Caenorhabditis elegans: one gene and its partner. The protein of the gene in region 2 purifies or fractionates together with the protein of the main gene of each other region. This does not show direct contact. Each region holds a gene or a part of one and is shown on either strand. Other genes may lie near its edges.

Region 1 (3,755 bases), 7.4 Mb from region 2:
TCATATGGATATGCATCTTCTGGCTCCAAGCCACCCATACGGATGATCTCTCTGAAAACAAAAAAGCATTTTTCAGGAACAATCAGAATTAACTTTTTAAACTAGAAGTACTTTGTGGTTTTATGATAAAAAACTAAAAAACAGTAATTATCTGATACGACAAACTTTCCAATTCTGAAAATATGAGACACATGTCGCATTAATTATTTCAGTATTCAGTTTTTCCCAAAAGAAAACGGAGAAATTGAAACATACTTGTATGCATTACTTGGCAATCCTCCATTACATCCCTGATCCATACTATCACAATCCACAAGTTCTTGTTCTGAAAGTGATACAAGCTTGTTCTTGGCAATGAACCATGCTCCTTCCACATTTCCTGTCGTTGAGAATGCCCAACAACTTCCACAGTTTCCTTGATTCTTTACTTGAGTAACTGCTCCTTTTTCTCTCCAATCAAATGATTCTGGAAGATCTTCTTCATTAATTGTGACATCATGTTTCTCGAAATTGGCTTGTTCCATTGGATATACTGGTTGTTCCCATTGATATGGAAGCATTATTTTCTTGAATTCCATTGTTGTCATGTCAGAAAACTTTGTGAATCCATAGACAGCGGTTCCTTGCTCATTTTTCTGAAGTTCTCTGATAACTTTTGCGTTTTTCTTGAAAACTCGGAATCTTTTTAGAACTTCTCTTTTGTTAGTGTACTTCTTCTCGTGTCTGGAAATAATTAGGTAAATTGAGAAAATAACGAAACAAACAATACCTATCAACAAAATCAAGAAAAGAATTCCAAATGACATAGTCTCTTGGACGGATGATCTTTGCCTTTCGGAGTTCCTGAACAGTGATGGAGTCGTCGTGAGTCAGTTGGATTTTGCGGTGACTGAAAATATTAACAAATTTCTATGTTAAAACATAAGACATAACAAGTTTCACTTACTAGTTAATCTTGTCAGTAAAAATATAAAAATAAAAAATATCCCAAAGACCACAAGTATTATGAAACATTTTTTGTTATAGTGTGATTATTTTTATCGGAAAAATTTTTATCGTCTTTACTTACTCGAACTTATCAATGTTCCTTGTAAACTCTTCCTCACAATTTCTGATGTGCACGATGTCTTTCAGACCATAACCATGTCTTTTTACACGGCGACTGATTTCAACTTGACACTTCTGCAATTAAGACATAAATCATTAAAATCAATAAAATCATAAAAATAATATTTTGTCTTGTAAGACAATTATTTTACTTTAAACTGTTTCAATTCGTATTTCATTTAATTTTGAAACTTTTTAGATTTGTTAAAAACTATAAATCTGATTGTTCTGTTTTTTACACGGGATAATCGGAAACTATACAAGACTTTTAGAATAGGTCGTTGGGGTCCACTTAGCACAAAATGTGACTAGTTTCAGAAAAGATTTGTAAACTTTATAAACGCATAATACTTTTTTCAAGTAAACATTCCACCCGGGTTAGGTGTGATGGAGCCCCATCGAGTGTCCAGTCAAAAAAATCTTGAATGTATTCAAAGAATTCTAAAATTATATTTCCTCTTCCTATTCATTTTTTGATCAACTATTTTTGGTTTTTGTTTTCTCACCTTGAGTGTATCCGTCTTCCGACACTTCTTCCCCTCAACGTCCGTCTGACCCTTCTTACAATCGGTTTTGACCAATGTGACAAAAATTGAATAATGTATTCCACCGGACAGTTTTCTTTCAACCTCCCATGTTCTATCGAGTTCCCATTTGTAGGCATCATTCGATTGCTGATTGAATTTTTCAACACCATGTCGCGCGAATTTCTACAACAAAAATAATTTGACAAGGTGATGGATGGATAGGATGACAACTGGTTTGATAAGGAATATAAAATGATTGAAATAGATTACCTCGTACAGAAGTTGGTCTTCTTCATTTATCGGCAACACTTTTGAGACAACTGTGTGGAGAGATGCAAGTAACAAAATTAGGCAAACTATAGGTTTACCCATTTTGGCTGAAAATAAGATCATGTGATAAGACAGAGAAAATCAGAAAGAAGTTTAGTAGGAAGAAGTTGACAAGATACAGTGAGATTGATACAATAATAAAAAAAAATAGTAAATGCTTCAAACCAAGATTTTGAGCCACCTGAGCAATTTTAACACGAATTTTATGTTTTTTTGATAATTAAAAAATCAAGAAGATCCAAGAGCTGGTGTTCTAAGGTGTCATTTGATAAAAGATAGATGTGGTTGGGGGTTGATGATGGGAATGAGGCCAGTTGTGGGTCATATGGTACCACCGAACAGCTGCCCAGTTGTGGTGTCTCCCAAGGGGTTGCGAGTGACCGTATGACCCGGCATTAAGAATAAAAGAGATAAATAGAGACGCAGCAGCAGTTAACAGGCACAAGAAAAAACCGGCAAAAACATGATGAGTCAAAAGGGAAAAGAGACGCAGGCCATCGGGAGGGTAGGGTTACACCTTTTCTGAAGGAGTTTTTTGGAAGACGAGAAGGGCACAAGACGACGTGCAAAAGGGCGGCGACCGGGCGGCTCAATTGAATTTCTGAGTAGGGTGGGAGACACATCAATTTGTTGTTGGCTCTAGTTGTAGTGGTTTGAAATTTCGATTCGAGCGGGGAAGGAGAAGTACGCGGACACTCTAATTCTATTAGGAAAGTGCACTAAACCGAAGTATCGAGAAAGTCGGGAAGAAAGTGAGAATGAGAATGGAAGACAATTTTCTAACTACAATATTGTAGAGTGGAATATATAGTTTTGCCAACTTTGAATCTAGGAATTTGTGCATTTATATGAACCTCACCGGTGAGAGTTTAAAAAGCATTTTAGGCATTTGACCTACAGATGGAAATTCGTTCAAGAAACTACATTCCAGCGCTCCATTTCCTAGCCCACGTTCTCACATCCTTTTTATATAAGAATGTTTTATCTATTTCAAGATAATAGAGGACATTGATGGGTTTGCAGACGATTTTTATGGGGTTTAAATATTTGTTTCCAAAATTTAGAAACTCACTTTTATTCATACGATTATATTGATCAGAAATGGTTTCATAATGTGAAAATAAGAAAATTATTCTGTATCGTACTTTTGCAACAAAAATCGCTTGTCGTGAACGTTTTGATTTTGAATTCAATTTTAGTTTGCATCCTAGTTTCTCTAAAATATCTGAAGTCCATTCAAAATTTTACAAAATATGGAATAAAATTAAAATTTTATCAGAAAAAACAGAATGAAAAAACTCTGAATAGATCACAAAGAGTTGTAGTATTTTCTGACTAATGTGAATAATTGTTACGCTTATAATTGTGAATTTCAGAAGGTCGAGAAATTTCGATAACTTTTTATTGGAAAAAATTTAAAAAAATTAATTTCAGATGAATCATACGCCAACGATCAGAAAATATGTTGAAAATATCGACATAAAGAAAAACAAGAATATAAAGAAAACAAAAAATCAATGTTTTAAATTAAACACCACACAACAAATTCCTCATGATTTGTAGCTCCGAGGCGCTATGTGTTAACTACATTTTCCAGTTTTCGGACACCAAGTATTTCATATTCTCATGTGATATGATAGAAAATGAGATTGAGGGTGATTTGTCGTGAAAATGAAGGAGAAATGGAAAAACAACAAGAAAAAGAGAGGTGAATCGAACGTAAACACTCATTTTATTTCTTTATGCTCCCAACAACTTTCTTCCAGCAACCAAAAAATAAGGAAGAATTTC
Region 2 (3,755 bases):
TTTGACTTTTACAATAATATAAAATAGGAATTTTCAAAGAAAAAATCCAAAACAAAAAAAAAGAAAGCAATGGTGCAAAAAGTGTTCACTAGGCGCCAAAATTTTTTGCCGTTGCTTGTCGAAATCGAAATTCAAAGCAACAGAAAATATTTCAGGTACAATTTTAAAATGGCCCGTGTGACGGTGTGTGTGTGGTGCGAAAAGAGGGAATTTTCTACACTTTCTATAAATGGTTGAGGGGGAAAGAGAGAGGAAAGAAAGATTTTCGAGTTTGGAATACATTTTTTGGGAAGAACAATTTGGAAGAAGAGAAAATATGAGAAAAATACCAAGTGGGAAAAGAAGAAGCCAGCGGTTTTTTTTAAGTTTTTTAAATTTTTTTATGGGGTTTTACAGGTTGGAGGCATTATTTTGAGGAAGGGTCAAGCCGGGGCAGGCGACCAAGAACTGGAGGATCCGGGACTTTTTAATTTGGGGGCAGGGGCAGGAGAAGAAGAAACTCAATCATTGTAAAGAGGAAATAAGAAAAAAATGACTTATAAATGAGTTTCACATTCTAAGAAAAAAACAAAATTAGGTTGAGAGCACGTCTGTCAAAAAAGAGGCAAAAAAACTTAAATTTGAACATAAATTACATCATTTATAGCATTTTTTGACTGGGCTTGGCAATTTTTTTTTGGGGCTCGAGAGCGAAATCACAATTTTCAAGCGGGGAAGAATAAAAAAACGAAAGGTGAGAGAAAAGGTGTTGGTGATTCGCAAACGATACGGCGGCTTCAGATCCCGATTGGTGTGATTTACTTGGTTGTCATCATGGTGACGAACTCTGAAATATGGGAAATTTGATGAAATTTCGAAAAAAAAAGGTCTTGTAAGGACTCACCCTCATAATTGACTTGTCCATCTCCGTCGATATCGGCTTCACGGATCATCTCGTCGACCTCTTCGTCCGTTAGCTTCTCTCCCAAGTTGGTCATGACGTGGCGCAGTTCAGCGGCCGAGATGAAGCCATTTCCGTCCTTGTCGAAAACCTGCAAATAGGAAGATTTGAATGAGATTTTCTATACTACATGAGGCTTCTCTATAGTGAATCAAAAATGAATTTATAAATTTCCACAAATCTCTTACTCGGAACGCCTCACGAATCTCCTCCTCACTGTCCGTGTCCTTCATCTTGCGGGCCATCATCGTCAAGAACTCTGGGAAATCGATGGTTCCGTTTCCGTCAGCGTCCACTTCGTTGATCATGTCCTGAAGCTCGGCTTCAGTCGGATTTTGTCCCAAAGACCGCATAACAGTTCCCAATTCCTTGGTGGTGATTGTGCCATCGCCGTCCTTGTCGAACAAACTGAATGCCTCCTTGAACTCTGAAAATTTGGCAAAATTGATTTGGTTTTTTCTCGAATTTTGTAGTTTTTTATACAATTGTTGATAGATTTTTCGCCGCGAGAACCAGCCAACATCTGGAATAAAACACACAAAAATAGTGGCGCTATACATCTGCTGCTACGGCTAATGTTTCATCCATTAAATTTAAATTTCTACGCCGCGCCGCTTGGTTTCTGCTCAATTCGCTTCGAAATGAGAGAGGATTAGATTTCTTCAATCTCCCGGTCCTCCGTCCATCAATCAGAATTTAAAAAAGTACCGGCAATTTGCTCCTCGGTCAGTTGATCGGCCATCTTGCTTTCGCTGTGCAGGGGGTGTTGTTAGAAAACCCTGAAAAATGAAAAAGGATAATTAATTAATTAATTAAAATCAATATAAATTGTTTGAAAGCGAGCGGAACGACGTAAACAATGATGAATACCGGTGGGTGAAACGGTGACGAGAGAGAAAAAATCGGAGAGAATAATCGAAAAAAGAGAGAAAAGAGAGAAAATAGAGAAGAACTAGAGAGAATTTACTGACTGATAAGCCAACGATAGGTACAAATTTTATATTTCGAAATGAAGAGAGAAGGAGACGAAATCAAAGGTTGATTTTGTCGAATTGGAAATATTTAGCGATTTCACTCTCCTCAAAGCCGAATTATTATTAGAGCGCGCTTGCTACGCGCTTTGCGTTTCTGCATCCGCGATGTTTTTGCCTGTCCACTGAAAAAATCAGATTTATTGAATCTTAGGAACAAACCAAAATGACGAAAATCAACTTTTTTCGTCCACTGGTTGAGAAAAAGTTGAAAAAATCAGCGGGATATTTTTTTTTGTTATTTTCTGAATCTATTTTTCTATCGAAAATCGGTTTTAAACCACTTTTGACTCTAAAGTAAGGTCACAAATGGATTAAAATCAATTTTTAATAGGAAAATATTTAGAAAATAAGAAAAATCTCGTTGATTTTTTCAATTTCAAACCTTTTCACAACCAGTAGACGAAAAAAGTTCATTTTAGTCATTTTAATTTCGATGTTCACTGTCTAGCAATAGGTTTGTCCGTGAAATGCTGAAAAAAAAACATCTACTTTCAGTGGAAACACGTGGTGCCAGGCTGGGCTGTCCCATTACGGTTTGATCTACAAAAAATGCGGGAATTTTGCCCAATAAATGTGATGTCAGCACGTTCTTAACAATGCAAAATCAGTTGAGAACTCTGTTGTCTCTTCTCCCGCATTTTTTGTAGATCTTTGTAGATCAAGCCGGAATGAGACACTCTGACACAACGTGTGGAAAGGCAAAACACCGCGGATGCAGAAATGCGAAACGTAGAAAATTATTCGGCTTTGAGGAGAGCGCGTGATTTCTGTCAAAAATCCACCAAAAAAAAACAAATTTCCAGTGGGTAGATCAAAGATCCCCTGCGGATATTCCATTACACATAATAATCGGAAAACTCTGATGGCCGAGACGTCTTGCGGAAGGAAAAGAAATGAAACAACAAAAAAGAGAGAAGATAGGGGTCAGTGTGTGTGCGTGTTCTGGTTATCGAATTATCCCCACAATACTTCAATTTCCTCTTGTTTTGCACGCAAAACGAGAAGTTGAAATTGGGGGATGGGGAGGGGGGGGGGGGGGGGTGTAGCGAAAACGGCCAACGTCTTATTCATCTGCGACGACCACCACCACCACCGCAACAAGAAAAGAACGGAGACGTGTTCGTCAATGAAGAAGTCTGAACACAAAAACTAGTTCTTCCTTCATCTCATCATACGTCCGAAAGAACATCAGCAGACACCGCGTCAACAACAAAAAAAGCCGACCAATTCTCAGCGGAGCGCATTTTCGATATGGAACATTAATACGAAAAAGGGCTGCTGTACAAGGGGATTATATAAGCGCGCGCGCGAAACGGAGCGGCGGTGAAAACTAAAGCATAATCCGACCCGGCGCAAGGGTTTTCAGGTTTTAACCTATAATGGGAAACCAGGAAAAGGGAATAAACAATCAAAAGAGACCTAAGAAATGTTTTTACAGAATGATAAATCACGAGAATATGGAAAAATAGTTGCGAAAACCTATTTGACGAGTTGAAAAATCAATGAATCACATGATTTAGCAAACAGACTCTGTTTTTTTTCTCGTTACACCTTCGTTTCTCAATTTGTTGGATCTCTCGAGCCTCCTCAAATATCTATACGAACGCTGGACAAATATTTGGCGGAAATCTCGGGGGGTTTCGAGGTTTTCTAACGAAGCGGCTCAGAAAGTCGGTAAAAACAACGAAGAAGCATTTTTCAGGAAAAATGAAACATCGGTTGTTTCTATTGCCCAGGCACATGAAATGATGCCCGTTTAAGCAGAGTGTGCGCGTGTGTGT

Evidence for each region. Proteins that work in one complex are often made in the same cells at the same time.
Region 1: the proteins of cmd-1 (region 2) and tag-196 purify together in Caenorhabditis elegans (affinity purification with western blotting; one study listed by BioGRID). This does not show direct contact.

What each region holds. Positions count from the first base shown.
Region 1 is NC_003283.11:8,593,170-8,596,924, reverse strand, and holds the start of tag-196 (Cathepsin F), read right to left. Parts: upstream 2,012-3,755; 5' UTR 2,007-2,011; coding exon 1,905-2,006; intron 1,818-1,904; coding exon 1,614-1,817; intron 1,183-1,613; coding exon 1,070-1,182; intron 890-1,069; coding exon 770-889; intron 724-769; coding exon 256-723; intron 52-255; coding exon 1-51.
Region 2 is NC_003283.11:1,154,235-1,157,989, reverse strand, and holds the start of cmd-1 (Calmodulin), read right to left. Parts: upstream 1,720-3,755; 5' UTR 1,683-1,719; coding exon 1,649-1,682; intron 1,368-1,648; coding exon 1,129-1,367; intron 1,032-1,128; coding exon 884-1,031; intron 827-883; coding exon 798-826; 3' UTR 1-797. UniProt on the Caenorhabditis elegans protein: Calmodulin mediates the control of a large number of enzymes, ion channels and other proteins by Ca(2+). Among the enzymes to be stimulated by the calmodulin-Ca(2+) complex are a number of protein kinases and phosphatases.